Drosophila melanogaster: one gene and its partners. The protein of the gene in region 1 interacts with the protein of each later gene in a pairwise test. Each region holds a gene or a part of one and is shown in the gene's direction. Other genes may lie near its edges.

Region 1 (3,875 bases):
CCCCCCAGTCCAGCGATTCTGCTGTCTCATAGGGTCGGACCGCCACTTTCCATCATCCATCCAACTTAATGTGCAATAATGAGTGTCATGTAATGCCAGACGCGTTCGATTCGAATTGCCAACCAACCAACAAACAAACAAAACTGAACTCAACTCAAACAGCAGCTGCATTGGCGGCTAAAGGAAAATAAAAGAGAAAAACCCAATGCAGCATTAGCAACGACAACAAATTAACATTTTTCAAAACTTTAAAGCCCCGACATGCGTTGACACTTTCGGGGAAAATTGCGTACAATTTCAAATGCAGGCACAAAACTTTACGCGTAATTACGACACTGGGGAAAACAGGAGGAAAATATAAATGGCAATAAGGGGGGGGGGGGGGGCACAAAAAAAAAACAAATAAATAAAACAAACCGCTGGCAAATCGCGTTCGCTGCGCCGTTGACAGTTGTAAAATGGAAAGGTTATCCGGACCCTGGTCGGCAAAAACCATGGACAGCCAACAAATGCGTCGAGGAAAGTGCCTTCGGAAGCTGCAGCTGCTACTGGAGCTACTCATGTCCCATTCCCCATGCCCCCCCGCCACGAACTCAATCCCCTCCTGCCACAGAGACTCCGCCAATGAGCTTCTGTCGTGGACAGTGACTGATGGTCTGGGAGAGCTCCGCTCTTTTCTGCCTCCAATGATTACGATGATGATGAAGACGGCGATGACAGGGCAGCATTTAACCAGCGCTCAGCAGTTAGATAACTATATATAAATTATGGAAGCCAGACGATAAAAATCCTCGACAGATCGCTCTAGAACGTCTACCATAGTTTATAATTCTAAATATACGTATGTTGAAAATGTTTGATTGCAATTGTGAACAAATTATAATTGGTTTTATCTTATTTTCCAATATACTCAGTATTCTGTAAATAATTGACTTTTATTTAAATACCTTTTTAGCTCAATAGCTGTTTTAAATTCAGGAGAAATATTATTTCTATTGAGTGCAATGCATTCGAGCTCAGAAACTCAATCGTTTAGCTCGGTTGTGATTTTCCATACAAATTCGTATGCAAATTCAAAGGTATATATAGCCAATAGTCGGGGCAACAACGCGCTCGCAAGGGAAGCACTTGAGCCTTACTTTGATGCACATATCCCCATTAAGTTGGCCCCCGTCGAGCTTGTGGCTCCCAATGCGGCCATGCAGTAGGTGAGAGAGAGAGAGAGATCTCTTGGCCTCTTGGCCCAGAACCCACTCAAATATGCTAATCCACTGGAAGTCCACACAGACCTCCACAGACAGCCCACAGTAGAGTGCATGTTTCTGAGCTTCAGGAAAAGTAGTTGCATAAAGCTACAATGCCTTTCCAGAATCTCACAGAGGAAGTAATTTGAAATTACGGAAGGACAGGCTTTCAATTACGGTAAGCTAACTTACCGATATAAAGGGAACATTCTGTAATCGTGGGCAATTGACAGATTCTGTCAATGACAGAAAATCAAGAAAAGTGGCTTTATATTCGCAGCTTAAAAATATTAGCCAGCTCTTATCTGTTTCACTTAATTCTTCATAACATACTTGTAATTTGAATTAACCTGAATATTATTTTCTAAACTTATTTATCCAGCTGAAAACTGTCGTTTTTTAATATCTGAAAATTTTCTAGCAGTCTTCAGTTAGTCAGTAGATTTCGTTAGGTTACTAGCACAAAAAAAAAACATTTTGAGTGAACTAATACCACTCAAAACGCCTTGACATATCACATATTTCATTCCCAGTTAAATTTTCCTAAGTAATTTCTTTAAAAGGAAGTGGTTTGTTTTCTTGAACCACGATGGAAAATCTCCAACCGGAGTCGGATCGCGTTGGCCATATTGTCTGGGATGAACCGGGAGCCTCGATTTTTGCCACCGCCTCCCAGGAGCCCGTACCGAATCTTCTGACCGAGTTCAAACCAATGCCGAAGGGCGAGGACGACTGTGTTTCTGATAAGGATGTGTGCCGCATTCTTACACAGTCGTCTGTCGCGGAGAGCTCATTGTTCCGAATGGTCAAACACCAGGTGGACGAAGTGGCCGCCATGCTCAACAGTCACCTGCATCCGCGCCAACGGAAGGAGCAAACCGATGTGGATGTCACCCTCGGTGTAGCAAGGGAACTGGCTCGCCAGCAGGTGGAGGCCAGTAGATGCCTTCAACTTCATCGCAATGTGGAAAATTTGAGGGATCTCGAGATGGAAGTGGCCCGTGCCCACACAGCGTTGGCTGTCAAGAACAAGATCACCAACAATATCAAACAAACGGTGGAAGATAAGCAGCGGGAGCGGGCCGAAGCTTTGGCGGAACAGCGAGCCGTGGAAAAGGAGCTGAAGGAGGAGAAGCAAAGAAGGGCTCAGAAGGCAGCCGTGTTTCGTAGAGATCTAATGGCCCAGATTACCGAGGGGCGTACCAAGCGGATACAAGATCATCGAATAGCTGTGGCCGAGGGTCGTCAAGAGCTAAAGGAATGCAAGGAGATAGTGGAGCAGGGAATCCTAAAGGATGCAGTTACAAAGGCGCAGCAGCGCAAGGTGCTCCTCGAATCCCTAGACCAATCGGCAGCCATGTTGAAGCAAACCCGCGAGGCCTACGCTCTGGCCCAAAAGAATAAGCCCGAGAGAGGACTCCTTGATGCCCTGGGACCCGTTACGGCGGCCTATGTGTCAAAGGCACGGAAACGACGCCTTGATGAGATCGAGGCCAGGGACATTAATGCCGCTCGGCTGGGCTTCCAGCTCAGCCAGATCAAGCACGATCTGGAGTCCCGAGATCAAGTCATCACCAGTCTGCTAATCCGCGAGCACAAGGCCAAGGAGAACGCGAAGGCCTTGGAACAGGCTAGAACCAAAATGGCCAAGAAGCAGGAGATTCGCGAACAGCTCCTCAGCCAGCGGGAAGAGCAGAAGTTCTTCCGAGATAAGGGTGTGCAGGATGCCCTGGTCATGCCCAAGGATCCCATGTGCTTCGGCGAACGACAGTATCGAATGCAAGTGGCCCAGCGGGAGAACACCCGGCGCTTGGATGTCCAATGCTACCAGGACATGGCCCACATGGTCGTGGAGGCCAAGAATAACAGGAAAGCCGCTGCCCAGGAGGTGGTTGACATTGTACAGGAGGTCTACAACCAACAGAATCGCCAGGATGAGCTTGTGGCTATTGAGCGGATGAAGCTGCTCTCCAAGCAGCCACCTGAAGTTCTTTCAGCGCTCAAGAAATCCATTCTCACCGAAGAGGAGATCAAGTCTTTAAACCTTAAGAAGTAGTTAATGAGTTTTCATTTAATACGCGCTAGATGCCCGTATTAAGGCTTGTAGAAACAAAAAATACAAAAAAGTACTTTTTGTTTTTTTCTTCGGGTTATTATTAAACCTACGCCCCCCTGGATGTTGGCTATTATTTATCAAGTATACTACCTCATGTGAAGCAGCCCACTGGCACAGGATGTGCTTAATTTTCCATTTTGCTGCTCTGCACTTTTAAATAGACTTTGCTGGCGCTGCCGGGATGGCAAATGAAATTCACTTTCTTATCCATTCTTTGGCCAAGCTTTTGCAGCAGGTCAGGTTTCCAGGTTTCGTACTCGAGCAACCGGTTTACCGACATTGCAGCTGGAAATTTGTTTACAATAATACGGTTCGAACGCACGCAGATGGGAGCGTAAGTGCACTTTGAAACCGGGCTTACATACATTTCCTTTACTTTCCATTTCTGGACTCATTAGCCGGCTGCCGGAGGAGACAGGTTTATATTTCATAACTGGCTGGCGAAGAAGGCTCAAGAATGTTGGCAAAGTCAGTTTTTTGGCAACCATTTTGGAGCACTCTCTTGACGACCTGCG
Region 2 (5,088 bases), on another chromosome or scaffold:
CTTGGCTTTTCCCTTTTTCTCGTATGATGAAGAATTTATTTGAAAATTAAGAAGACAAATTATTTAATTTCGACTTTATGAGCTTTTGCGACGCCCCGTCCACCCCCTTCAACGGTTCCAGCGACCGCTTTAATTTTCAATGCGAAACGGACGATAGGGATTGCGATTTCCGGGAAAAGGGTTCGCTGTCGGCCATTTTGAGCGCGGGAAAGGCTCTTTGCATTTTATGCGCGACGCGGTAATAAACACGCAGCCACGGCTTAGACTACAATGTGGAGTGGGCCATCGGACTTGGCACGAGCACGCCACAAACTTAATTTCATTTAGTTTTATGTACATTTCATTAAGCAAAAAATGTCCAGGCATCGCGACGGCGACCAACATTCAAGTGTCCGGACTTTGGACTAGGTCCTGCACATAAACCCGACTACGGGACTATATAGCTATGGCGATAGCGATAGGGCGATGGCGATGGCAATGGCGACTTGGGGACTTGGGGACAATCAAGATAAATAGCAAACGGAATTTTTATTGCCGAAAGGATACGACGAAGGGCGAAACAAAAGGCAGCCCAAAGAGTTGAAAGTGTTGACGTGACTACTGTGTCCTGTGCCCTTTGTCCTCGATGTGTGCAGCCAGCCAGGATAGTCTCACAAACTTACTACACACACACACACACACACACACACACGCACACATACGGGCCACGGAAAATTGTCAGAATGTTTTGTATTTTCCAAATTTATTGCCGGTGGCCGCATTTTGTTGTCGCTGCGACCATAGATTATCTCATCGTTTAGGAGGCCCTAATATGCGCCGGAGTCAGTCGCAATATGATTTATAGCCAACCTACCGATATATGATCGTTGCGGGCTTGTTTACCTACGAATCCTTTAGCTTCGCCTTTGCCTTCGTGTCCTTATCCTTCCACCTTGACGCTTCCAGCAGCTCCAGCTGCGAGCCGAACATTTTTAATTACGCTTTTTACAAGAAAATTAAATGGCAACATGTCATCACTAATTAAATTGTTCTTCTGTTCGGTTTCCCACTTCTTCATGGTTGTCCTGCGAGTGCGACAGTGTGTGAGTGTGCGTGTGTGTATATTTGTGTGTGGAAAACCAGCAAGGAGTTGGGGAGGGAAAAGGGTTGTAGATGACTGCGTTGATAATGCCAGGGAAATACATATATCAAACGAGGCGATAGTGCGGCCTAGGGCACGGACTACAATGTTGATGTGTGCCGCAATATTTAAACTATATCTGTCACTGGTTGCTAACGATCGGTCATTTCAATTAAATAAAATTATACCCTCTGTAAACGCTGACGAAAACAATTTGAAAATGAAGGTAGCAAAATGATGTCCTCGTTTGTGGGCTTAGTAATTAGTTTTAATTAACAAATTTATACTCACAAGATCCAGTTCTAGATATGAACGAGCATTGCACATCAGAGGTAAAAATGTTGTATTGCGCTTAGATACTGTTTTTTTAATATACTCAATGCACTTAGCAACTATAAAGCAAAATCTTTCGAATCAATAAGGATACAATATTAATATACAATATTCGCTCACTAATTTAAAATTACAGTTTGGTCATCTACGAATAATAATAATATTAGTAATAATAGTTTAAATTAGTTTACTTTTGTTATAGTTTAACAAGCAACAACATAAAAAGCAGGTATATCAATTATTAATAAATGAAACTGTTTTTGTACAAAAGATCTGCTTGAAATACGATTTAAATATTGCGGTCGTTCAAAATTTGTCAACACCTAATCGAAATAAAACTTTTGCAGCACTGTTGAGTAGTCGAGCCGGTTCGATAGCTTTTCGAGTCATCGATATTTTTCCAAGTTCCACACCATGGATTGTGAAATAGCTACTTGGCACATTTTTAGTTAAGTTAACAGGTTATCGATTGCTGCATGCGAAAAATCGATACTACTATCTTCTGGCTACACCGATAAAACCAAACGCACATCGATTTTTGTTCCAGCTCTATTTCGTGGAACCTTTGCGTGATTTGCTATACGAAATTACTCAAGAAAAGGTTAGTAAAAATAATTTAACGAGTATACTTTGCAAATGGTTTTTTGCTGTCTTTAGAGAGAATATGGAAAGTACACTTCTTTGCAGGTGGATTTTCCGCATTTTAGCCTATAAATTTTCCACGATGTGCCAGAGAAAACCGATTCTATTGTGTCTGTATAAGTGTGTGTGCTTGTGTGAACGTCCTCGTTTCTTCACGGCGAAAAATCAAGTAGTGAAATCAATAAAAGTGAGGAGCTCCCCTAGATGCCATAGTCGCTCCATCGCGGTAATAATTTTCAAGAGCAAGCAGGGTCGAAATTCGTCAATCAAAACGTTAATTTGCATGAATCATTTCGAGAGAAAAAAAAACACAAAGAAAGTTTACGCGTATGACTGTGTGTGTAGGTACACCTATTTGCGCCACAAAATGGCGTCGGCACGTCGGAAAATCTGAAATGCTGTGTTGACGTTGCCCGCTGCCTTTGCTTGAGTTATCTACAGTGCCCCCTCCCCGGGAAGACAGCCCTCTCATGGAGTTTTTTTTTTCTTCCATTCCATTTCCACAGCTTCACTTTTGGCGTGTGCCTTCCAGCTGCTTTCTGATCTCCCACACACACGCATTGTGCTGCTTGCATGTGTGTGTGCTTTCGTCACTATCGATGGGGGAAAAAGAAGAGTGCGTTTTCATGGGTTTTCTCAAGATATTTGCTCTTGAAGCCCCCGAAAAACTAGTAAAATAAATACTGTTTGCAATGTGGGTGTGCCACTTGGCCAGTTAAACATGCAGACAGCGACAAACACTTGTGCACAAGAGCCGAGCCGAACGCTCGAATTGAGGTCAAAATCATCCACAACTGGGTCTGTGCGGAAGCAGGGGGGGCTCATTTCTCAGGTCGGGGTCGACGCCTCAATGCAGCAGAGGGTGGGTTTTCGCATTGGGGGTGTTTAGTTTTGGCTTATCCCTTCCCCGCACGAAAGACTACATTATTGCAGGCCCAAAGTTCGTATGTATGTATGTGGTGTACTCGCACAATGACAAATCGCAGGGTTGTTTGCGACTTCGTCGTCCTATGGCCAATCAATTAAACCAAGCAAATTGAGCGGAATGGAGTAGTGACTCAGCTAATCAGCAATTGCAACCCCCTGCTCGTTGTGCGCCTCTGCCTATTTCCCGGGGTCAAGAGACTTTAATTCCGTGGCGCAGAAGACCAGCATCGCGTGCGAGCGGGATGGCCAGCTGAATGGAAAGCGGGAGAGAGGAAGAAAGAGAGGAGATCCCCAAAGCTGAGGCCATAAACCCCAACACAAAGAAAGGACACTGACACACGGACGCAGCTTCTAGTTCTTTTCGGTGCATGTGTGTTGGTGTTGTTTAAGTTTGTGGTGGGAGAGAGTGCGCCAAACAAAGAAAGCTGGAACAAAGAACGGCAGGCTACAACAAATGAGTCAATCAAGCGAAAGTAACTTTGCAAAAATAAAACTAAGCAACGGCACAAAGCTGGTTGGCATTGTGTAAACCTGTGATTAATTATAATCTTCCCAGCACTTAATGCTTAAATGGCAATGCCACCAACACTTGCACACATGCGATTCCGTAGAATGCGGCAGTGCCGTTTCAATTGGCGGGAGAGAGTGGAAGTGGAATAAACTTGAAGGTGCTCATCCGAGGTTATTTCCATTAAATGCATATTTTCCAGTTTGGATGGCAGGTGATGTTATTGTTATTGTGCTGGCGCTTGCTCGCAGTGAAATCGAGTGTAAACAAAAACAATCGGACGAGATTAGCAAATAACGTCCATTTAAATAATCCCACACGCACACCACTAGGATCACTTTTCTTTTGTATTTTTGTCACAATTGTACGTAATTGTTGATTCGTCTGATTCTCATTTTTATTAATTTGCCACGGTTCCGGCTTTTGTTTGTTTCCTCCTCCCATTTCTCTCCAGGATTCCCTAAACGCAAGGCCATACCCAGTGTGACGTAACGAAACGGAGAGACGAATCCCAGGTGTTACCACGCAGGACTTGTTACTTCTAGCCTAAAGGAACCAACCAGGAAGAACCGAAATCGGAAGGAACAGTAGCAGAGTTGGATAAAAAGCCAGCACCCATAACCCATAACTTGTCTCTGTGTGCGTACGCGTGTGTGTGTTAGATTTGTGTGCGTTTCGTCGAGTGTCCCCAAGGATCATCAGAACCACAGAGCAGACGAGGAGGATCTAAGACCCTTAACTAGGATCCAGATCCCCAGAAAACGGGGAAACCAACCAAGACGCCAAGAGTAGCCCACTCCGTGCCACCCAAGCACGCACCCATTTCGCCCCCGAGTCGATCAAGAAAAGCATCCACCATTCCTCTATCAACGTACGACGCCGCTCCCCTTTTGCACTCTTACGACGACAGTCCGCAACGTTGGTCCGGAGTCACCAACGGGCACCAGGCAGGCGTCATCATAGATCAGTTTCGGGGCGGTAAAGCGATCATCATTGAGGGAGGCACCAGCACCGGTGATACGAAGAGCATCGGCGGCGGCAGCGATTTACGACTGGTAATAACGGCCAATCCCAGCGAGATCGAGCGCAATTACGAGCAGCCAACCAATCGCGGTGGTGGCGGAGGCGGCGGCGTTATCGGCGTCAGCTGCGGTGGCCAAACCCCACCGACACCGTCGGTCGGCAAAACACTGCTCAACACCAGTCCCAATCTTCTGCCGATCACCACAGCGACCGATACGTTTAACAACCTCAAGAATCTGGTGAAGATCGACAAGGGCTCCTCGCCATCGTCAGGATCGAATTCGCTGGGCGGCAATTACCGCAAGGGCGGCTCTAACGGCTCAGGATATAAGAGCGCCGGCGGCAACGGAGGATCTCCGGCCATAAGCGGCAACAGCGAGGGCGGCAGGAACGGCAGCCGATCATCTGGTGGACCGACCGGACACTTTTCCACTGGCTATAGTAAGAATTCCGTCAAAATTCGCCAACACGACAGTGAGGTGAGCCCAAGACCTCGACGATCTTACCAGGGTGACTCGTCGTCGTCGCGTTACTA
Region 3 (3,231 bases), on another chromosome or scaffold:
CTTGATCGCTTTCATGTGCCGTTTTTCAAATTGAATTTCAGTTTACTTTCTTTGTGTGCGGAATGTGTTTGCACTCAATTGGCAAGTTTTAGTTTAATTGAATTTTTCTGTAGTTGCCTTGGCAACTGTTTTAATGCTCCAATTGATGCAATTAAGCACCAGCCATGCAGCGTAGACACTCTATATACCACTCGTGTTTGTTTTTACATAGAGAAAAGCAGGGGAACTTAAATAAAATATTTTTTAAATTTCATTCCAAGTTAAGATGAAAAACCGCATTGCAAATGTGAGTTTTTAAACTGTTTAAACTGTATGCTACTATACATTTCATTATTTATATGTCGATATTATTTCTCTCTGTGCAGCCCTATGCTCTACCCGTCTCTTTCTGGTCAATTCACACCGTCTCGCTCACATTTGTTGATTGATCTTTCGCTATGGGCAAATATTTAAGCTGCCGTCTGAGCGTTGCCTTTTGGCCAGCAGACCGAAAACATGTTTGAACATCTAACACGCGTCAGACCGAAAAGAAGCGAGTGCAAGCGGGACGGAGATGATGAGCGAGCGAGATGGGTGGCTGAAATCGTTTAACAATTTTTATTTACCTTTTTATTAACAATTTCGCGGCTTTTTGCAGCTCACCATTCGTGTGTCTGCGGTTTTTATCATATTTCTACTGTGTGTGTGTGTGTTTACAAAACCCAAAAAATTATGCGCACTAAATCTAAGGTCGACCTTTTGCCTTTCCTTTGCATTTCCACGTTCATATTTGTATGCTTTTGATACTAACAAAACTATGCTATCTGCAGCAAAAAAAAAAAATACGCATACATACATACATTCCAATGATAAGCACAAATGCTATCAGTGGAGTTGCTTCTTCTGCTGATTTTTCATCCACGATGTTTTGTCATCGCAAGAAAAGTAAATTCGCAAATCAGTCACGTGCGTTCGCTCTCTGTCTCTGTCGCACAGCGGAGTGGGTGGTGTGGGCGCAAGTGGGTTGTGGCTGGTGGGTGGGAGGGAGACAGAAGACAAACAGCACGCGCCAAGTTAATGCTGCCCGATTTGACTTTGCAGGCGATAGCAAAACAAATAATAAATCAACATTTCATCCGCACAAACAGTCAAACTTCCATACCAAGCACTTTTGTAATTCCAGCAATTTTAGCCGTACATAAAAAAAAAAGGCAATTTAAATATAAACGAATTTCGTTAGTTAACAGTGAATCTTAAATATAACGAACATTTTTGCATAATATATAAACCTTCTTAGCTTTGATTTCATTGATTGTAGATTGTGATTTAATATATTAGTTCCACTAAAGCAAGGCTCACTGTTGTATTTCCTACTTTTACTTTATACTTTTGTTAGTCCATTGAAACTTGATTAGCTCGCCAAACATTTGATCGTCACTTGAGTTTTTGGCTAGCAGGTGGATTTTCCCGGTCTCCCACAAGTACTGATTAGAAATTAGTTAGCCACGAAAGTGGTCTTCAAGCCACGACCCCGTTTGTCCCATTTCCATGGGCAATTAAGTAGGCCATGACATGGAAACAGTAATTGTACTAATCGATTTTCCATTTCCACTGAAAGTTACCGCTGCCGTTTGGAAAATTGTAAAATCCAGCCAAGCCAAATAAAGTTTACTGACCCCCGGCAGAAGCATAGAATTGTTGGCACAGCAGCCGGAAAAATCGAGGGGGGTGGAAAGGTTGCATATCGATTAAACACGTGGAAGGAGTGGGTGGGTGGTTGGGTGTGCTGGCAACACGTTTGATTACCGCGTGTAAATAAGAACAACCAAACGAGCGCTGCAGAAGTTGCAACGACTCTCTCCTTGGATGTTGTGCAACAATCACATGCTACCGAAGCCCCAATGGAAAATCCAAAAGACGATGAACAAAAGCCAACGGCTCCAAGGGCTCAACCGCCGGAAAAACCCGCTCGTAAACGGAATCAAGTTAAAATTCCGCCCAAGATCAGGGCGGCAAAACTAACACCTACCGCCATTCTGTGTGAATTGACGCGCCTGAAGGCGCAGCAAAAATATCTCGAATGCAATCAAGTCAAGCTGAATCCCAATAATTTCATACTCAAAGATGATGAGGGCACAGATTCAAAGACCGAGTCTTGCCAAGAGCCGGAAACTGGTCGAAATCCACGACCCAACAGTTCCTCCACGGCAGATCTAATAGGTCTGATCAACGAAATCGAACAGGAGAAACTTGTGCTCCATGAAAAACTTAAGCTATATAGCAGCGAAAAGCGTGGAGAGCTTCAGGATATGTGGCATTTTGTGGCCACCGTTAAGGAGGATGTCTTTCGGCCAGAACGTCTTAGCCAATATACAGTGAATGCTCTAAGGGAAAGAATCGTTGGCCTAAATGCCCAATTGTATCGCTTGGCTGCTAGGAACTCAAAGGAACTCGAAGAACTGAGGGAGCAGTACGCTAAAATGGAAATTGAAAATAAGCTGTTGTGGAAAGGTAGCATGTAGATTAATATACAGCAACTTTTGGATTAGTTTTTTTTTCACTTTTTCACATAGATAATATCCCAAAAATTTGTATTTGTTCTATAACTTGAATAGGCTTGCAAAACAATAAAGAAATATCTTTAAATCAAGTGGAATAGTTTCAAAAGTAGATATACCTACAAAGTATTATCCAATCCAATTTAAATGCAAATACCATTAGTTTTGAAAAAGTATTACGGAGCAAATGCTTTTCTCGATGGCCATGCATTGCGATTTGCAGACAAATATTGCTGAAATTCTTGACATTGTTTCAGGGCCCTTATTTAATGGGCGACACTCGTAATCAACAACATTTTAGACCTTGCCTTGAGCTGCTTGCCTTTTAAATCAATAGGACCTTTTGATGCGACTTTTTTCGCCTTCGGCTGAAGGATTCCCAAACGGAGGCGACACTGGTATTTTCTGCCACGACTGCTATACTTGTTGTTGGTGTATTTCTGGTTGCGATTATTTTGAAATGTCTCATTTGCGAGCGCCGAGCTTGAGGTTCATCGCATTCGCCGGGCGACCAATGGGGAAAGGTCAAACGGCACGTGGCAATGGCATTTCTGTTTTTTCCATACTTTTTTTTCAGCCCTACCCCCCCCCCCCCCAAGCCTTTGGTTTTTCCTTGTTTCCCGTTGTTGGCTGAAGTTCAAAACCGGCTCACGTGGCATTGGCGATTTATAGGACGTAATATCAGTGCAGAATC
Region 4 (4,911 bases), on another chromosome or scaffold:
CATCTTTGAGACGCGAACCGATGGCAAGGACAATTTTACGTCAGCCTTGATCATAGCCGGTAACTACATCATTCCGGAGGTTTGCATCTTCTTTGGCCATAAGTTGATGCGCGGCAATCGGACGGTGAAGGTCAGTTCGAATGCCTTAGACGCGTTCGACTCACCGAATGTTCCACCACTGGCCAGGATCGGCATTGATGTGAACGTCGACTACCGCCTGATATTCCGGCCATGCACTATTGAAAGGTTTTGCGTACACTTGAATCTCGACGAGAACGTCGGCTTGCTGCGAATCTTTCCGAGCATTTCGCACTCCACATTCCGGGCTTTCCTGGCGCCACCGATTCGCGGCGTTGTCCTGCAATCCTTCGGATCTGGAAACATACCATCGAACCGAAAAGATCTCATCGATGAACTGCGTGCGGCTGGTGAACGAGGCGTTATCATCATCAATTGTACACAGTGTCCCAATGGCACAGTGGCGGAGATCTACGATACGGGCAAGGTGCTCTGCGATGTCGGTGTAATTCCCGGTTTCGATATGACGCCCGAGGCGGCGCTGGCCAAGCTGGCCTATGTCATCGGCAAGGAGGAGTGGTCACTCGATATGAAGAAGCAGGTAAGTTTCGACTATAATTCAATACATACATAAATATGGATAATCCACAATGTGTGCATTTCATAGATGATGCAGTCAAGCCTGAGGGGCGAACTGACCTCCTTAAAGGCTCCCAAAATGGAGGACTACGACTTGGTGGACGCAGTGGCACGGTCTCTGCACTTGTCCTCGCCCCAAGAACTGGATCAGCTGGGCGAAACGCTCTTTCCGGCCATGATCAACGCCGCTGTGGCCGAAGGTGATCCCAAGAAGATCAACAACTTGAAAGCCTATGGCGCCGACTTGTCGGGCACAAATCATGACCAGCGAACGGCCCTACACTTGGCTTGTCAGCTGGGAAACGTGGAGATCGTTAAGTACCTACTGCAGAACGGGGTGTCCGTGCACGTGCGTGATCGGTATGACCGCACTCCACTTCTGGAGGCTGTCGCCACCGATAGCCACGAGATCATCCAGTTGCTCATCAACTGTGGTGCTCATTTGACGGGCTCTTCGCGAGCGGTGGGCGAGCAATTGTGCGCGGCCGCTGCTAGGGGATCGATGATCAGATTGAAGTCCTATCAATACGCCGGTGCCGATCTTGCCCAGTCGGATCCTTCGGGCAGGACGGCCTTGCACGTGGCAGCACTGCACGGATTTCCGGAGGTGGTGCAATACGTCCTGCCCTATTTCGAGAATCCGAACGAGAAGGACATGCTCGGCCTGACCGCCATGGATTATGCGGAGCGCGGCGGACACGCAGCGGTTATGGAGGTCCTAAAATCATAGAAATCTCTTCCGAACCATACATACCTCGTTCCTTGTTCCTGCAGCATGAAGAAAAAAACAAACACTGGAGGCTAGGGTTATTTCTTTTGTACTTAAGTGTTGCATCTAGTCTAATGGTTCCTTATTATCAGTTTTGCATAACTCGCATATTAACGATGTTGTCGTGGTAGTTTTTATTATTAAGTGTCGAATCCCTGACCTGTTTTTAAGTAGTCCTTATTTACTAATGTATCCATTGTATGCAATAATATTATTAGCCAAAACCAAAAATTAACCAATCATGTCTAAAATTAAGCATCAGACATATTAAACGGTTGTATAACAAGTTATATACACAAACTAGTATAATTTGTTGTATGAAAATAAATAAAATCAATTTGAAATTAATGCAAAATTTTTGAATTAGTTTGTAATCGATTGATTGATTACGAGCGCAAGTGCTATCGAGCCATCTGTCATTCGATAACTTACCAGGGCTTTGTGACCCTATTCAGTTGTTGCGCAGCCCTGGTATCGAATTGTTTTTACGCTGGCATTAATTAGAATTGGTAAATATACATCTGTCAGCGTGCACATAAGAAAGCTCTTACGTTGCAATCTAGTGCTTAGTGGCTTGTAACTCAGAAACCAGGCGAAAATCGACACAAGCGCTGGAAAAACAGCAAACAAAACACACACACAGCCCCACTCGCACACACACAGCCGCACACACACGCACACATCTATAGAGAGGTGCACACGTCAGTGCCACGAATTCCATAAAATAAAAAGAACAACAAGAAACGCAAATTCAAAGCTAAAGACAATTCTAGCCGATCGGAAGCGGATGATATATGTTAGCTATATGGTAAACCCTCTCTCGTTGCAGTCAATGTCGATAGCTAGCGCTGCGCAGCCACCGTGGATATATAATCGGTCCTTCAGATAGCCAGTCCGCATATATATTCCCGATTCCCCCGATTTGTGTTTTTGTTTGTTTTTGGTTTTTTTTTTTTTTTTGTTATTGCTGCTGCATTTGGTCCGGTACGCTAGGATAGTTAGTAATATTTTGTAATTGAAACGACAATGGCGGAAGATTCGGGTGCTTTGGAGAGCTCCTACGACTTCTCCATCGTTCAGGTGGGTTTCACTTGGTGTTCCCTGTACGTACATGCGTCCATACTGATCATGACCACTTGCAGCCCGACGATCACGAATATGGCGAGGCGGATATACGCTTAGCGGGCAGCTCCAACGATCTGTCCTCGTTACAGGTGGGTAAATCTGAACAAATCCCCCAAGTGAAGCAGGATTCAATATTATCTGTTGAATCTACCCTACAGAATGTATCCGCCAGCACAACGAGAGGCACCAAAGGCAAGGGCCGTTTGGATAGCCTTAAAGAGAATCTGTACAAGCAGCAGGTGAGTTAGGCGCTGTGAATCAAGTGGTTCATATCATTAAATGACTCGAAATGATTGCTTTCAGGAGCGCCTCACTGCCTTAAAAGAACGCGCCTTAAGGAAATCCCAGGATGAGCGACACAAGTCCAGCATGAGTGACTCCATGGAGTCGCTTAAGACACTGGGTCAGAAGCTCACCGTGTTGAAGACGCGCTCCGGCGACTCCTCCACTCCACTGGTCTCACCCACAAAGGACAGCGACCCCGGTGATGTCTCTTTACTCCAAACCAGTGGCAGCGAGAAGCTTCTGATGCTCACACAGCGCACGGAACAAAATCGTGCTTTGTTGGAGCAGCGCAAGAGGGATCTGGCCAAGTCTCTTCTTTCTGTAAAGTCGAATATTGGCCACCAAACGACCGCCGAGCTGGGCTCTTCCATGACGGACCTACGACACGCGGCGTCTGTCTCCAATCCACCCGTATCCCGCCATCGTTCTGCCTTGGACTTGGAGGCCCAGGGTCAGGAGGCGGTGGACGAAAGCCGGGTGAAGTTGCTCAGGAGTCGTATGAAGTTGACGGAACTCAAGCAGGGCCGGCAGGAACAGGAGCTAAATGAATTGCGTACAGAACTGGCCAAGCGCGCTAAACTCATCGAGCGATTGGAACTATCCGGTGCGGAATTACAGCGCACGCTCACCCAGCGAAACGAGGAGTTAGAGCAATTGCGTGTGGTCCAGGCAGAAGAGGATAGCCTGAAGGTGCAGGAAAACTCTCGCCTCCAGGGCGAAGTTTTAGTCTTAAGAGAACGACTAGCAGAGCTGGAAAACGTCAACGACCTGTTAGAAACGACGCGCTGTGAACTTCAGGAAGAGCTGACCACGGCGCGCGAAAGACAGCGTAATCTGGAGTTGGAACAAGAGCAGGAAAAGGCTTCCCGCAGTCCGCAATCGGAAGCAGCGCATACCGATGCACAGGTGAGCGCGGAGCTAGCCAAACAGCTCCAGGAGCTTACCAACCAGCTGGCTGATCTACAGGCAACTAATGAGGAGTTGCGTCAGCAAGTTGCTGCCCAGGCGAAGCTCCAGGTGACCGATGAGATTGTTTCCCAGCGCCTTGAGGAACTGGAAGCCACCATAGCGGCGCAGCTTCTAGAGCTGCAGGAACAGAAGTCGGCAATGGCTGCCCAAAACGAAGAACTCGCAGAAAAGACAACGGAACTCAATGTGCTCAATGTGAATCTGCGTCTCCTTGAGGAGAAACTCGCGCAAAGCAGTCGCAGTAAGCCCCTATTTCTGGAGGACCATTCGGAGGACAGTGCCGCCAGCAAGCAGATGCAGGAGGATCTGCAGCAGCTGAAGCTAAAGCTGGACGAAACTAACAAGGCCAACATAAAGCTAAAGCTGAAATGCAAGCAGGCGGAAAAGAAGCTGCAGAAATTCCAATCCCAAGATGGCCAACAGCAGTTGGCTTCACTGTTGGCTGATAACGAGGAACTGCAGCAAAGGATCGCCGTCCTCGAGGACGAGAAGGGTCAATGGCAGTTGGCCAACATGCAAGAGGACGACCGCCAGCCAGAGCAATCGACGGAGTCCAATAATCCACTGCAGCTGGAAACAATTCGTTTGCTGGAAGAGCAGAAATTGGAATTGCAACAGGCCCTAGAGGCCTTACTCAGTTCATCCAGTTCTGCGGAATCCATTGAAATAGTGGAGCGTCATCACTTAGAGTGCCTAGGCCAACGACGTCCGGCCAGCGAGGGCGACGCCCAGGAGCAGAAGCAAGTGCATCCACCAGGGCCAAGTCACGTCAGCGAGCTCACTCAGACGGAGCAAACTGAGGAGGAGGATTCCTCTGGCGAAACTCTTTCCCAGCTTAGAGAACGTCTCGAACTTTTCACCCAGGAGCGCGGAGAGGTATTGGACAAGCTGGAGCAACTGTCGGCCGAGAATTTGCAACTCCAGGCAAGATTGGAGGAAAGTTCAAGTTCTCTTCAGCTGTTGCAGCGTGAACGTGAGAAGGATCTGATCTCCTCCACGTCCACTTCATCCAATCTCTCGCAGGAACTCAGTTCAATGCAACGCTCCTCCGAAGTTGTCGCAACACTGGACGCCGGCGAAGGAGGCCCCGTGCTCTTTGAGAAATG

The links.
Region 2: the proteins of CG3610 (region 1) and NAT1 interact in a two-hybrid assay, tested with the Drosophila melanogaster proteins (one large-scale study listed by BioGRID).
Region 3: the proteins of CG3610 (region 1) and CG15071 interact in a two-hybrid assay, tested with the Drosophila melanogaster proteins (one large-scale study listed by BioGRID).
Region 4: the proteins of CG3610 (region 1) and lva interact in a two-hybrid assay, tested with the Drosophila melanogaster proteins (one large-scale study listed by BioGRID).

The regions. Positions count from the first base shown.
Region 1 is NT_033777.3:14,843,374-14,847,248, forward strand, and holds CG3610 (uncharacterized protein), read left to right. Parts: upstream 1-1,669; 5' UTR 1,670-1,833; coding exon 1,834-3,300; 3' UTR 3,301-3,364; downstream 3,365-3,875.
Region 2 is NT_033778.4:12,914,011-12,919,098, forward strand, and holds the start of NAT1 (NAT1), read left to right. Parts: upstream 1-1,983; 5' UTR 1,984-2,054; intron 2,055-3,847; exon of another isoform or gene 3,848-3,894; intron 3,895-3,984; 5' UTR 3,985-4,387; coding exon of another isoform or gene 4,388-5,088.
Region 3 is NT_033778.4:18,694,754-18,697,984, forward strand, and holds CG15071 (uncharacterized protein), read left to right. Parts: upstream 1-1,831; 5' UTR 1,832-1,880; coding exon 1,881-2,501; 3' UTR 2,502-2,592; downstream 2,593-3,231.
Region 4 is NC_004354.4:3,962,296-3,967,206, reverse strand, and holds the start of lva (lava lamp), read left to right. Parts: upstream 1-1,879; 5' UTR 1,880-2,452; coding exon 2,453-2,506; intron 2,507-2,568; coding exon 2,569-2,640; intron 2,641-2,709; coding exon 2,710-2,790; intron 2,791-2,854; coding exon 2,855-4,911. Other genes in the region: CG6428 (uncharacterized protein), read left to right, coding at 1-619, 686-1,387. UniProt on the Drosophila melanogaster protein: Lva and spectrin may form a Golgi-based scaffold that mediates interaction of Golgi bodies with microtubules and facilitates Golgi-derived membrane secretion required for the formation of furrows during cellularization.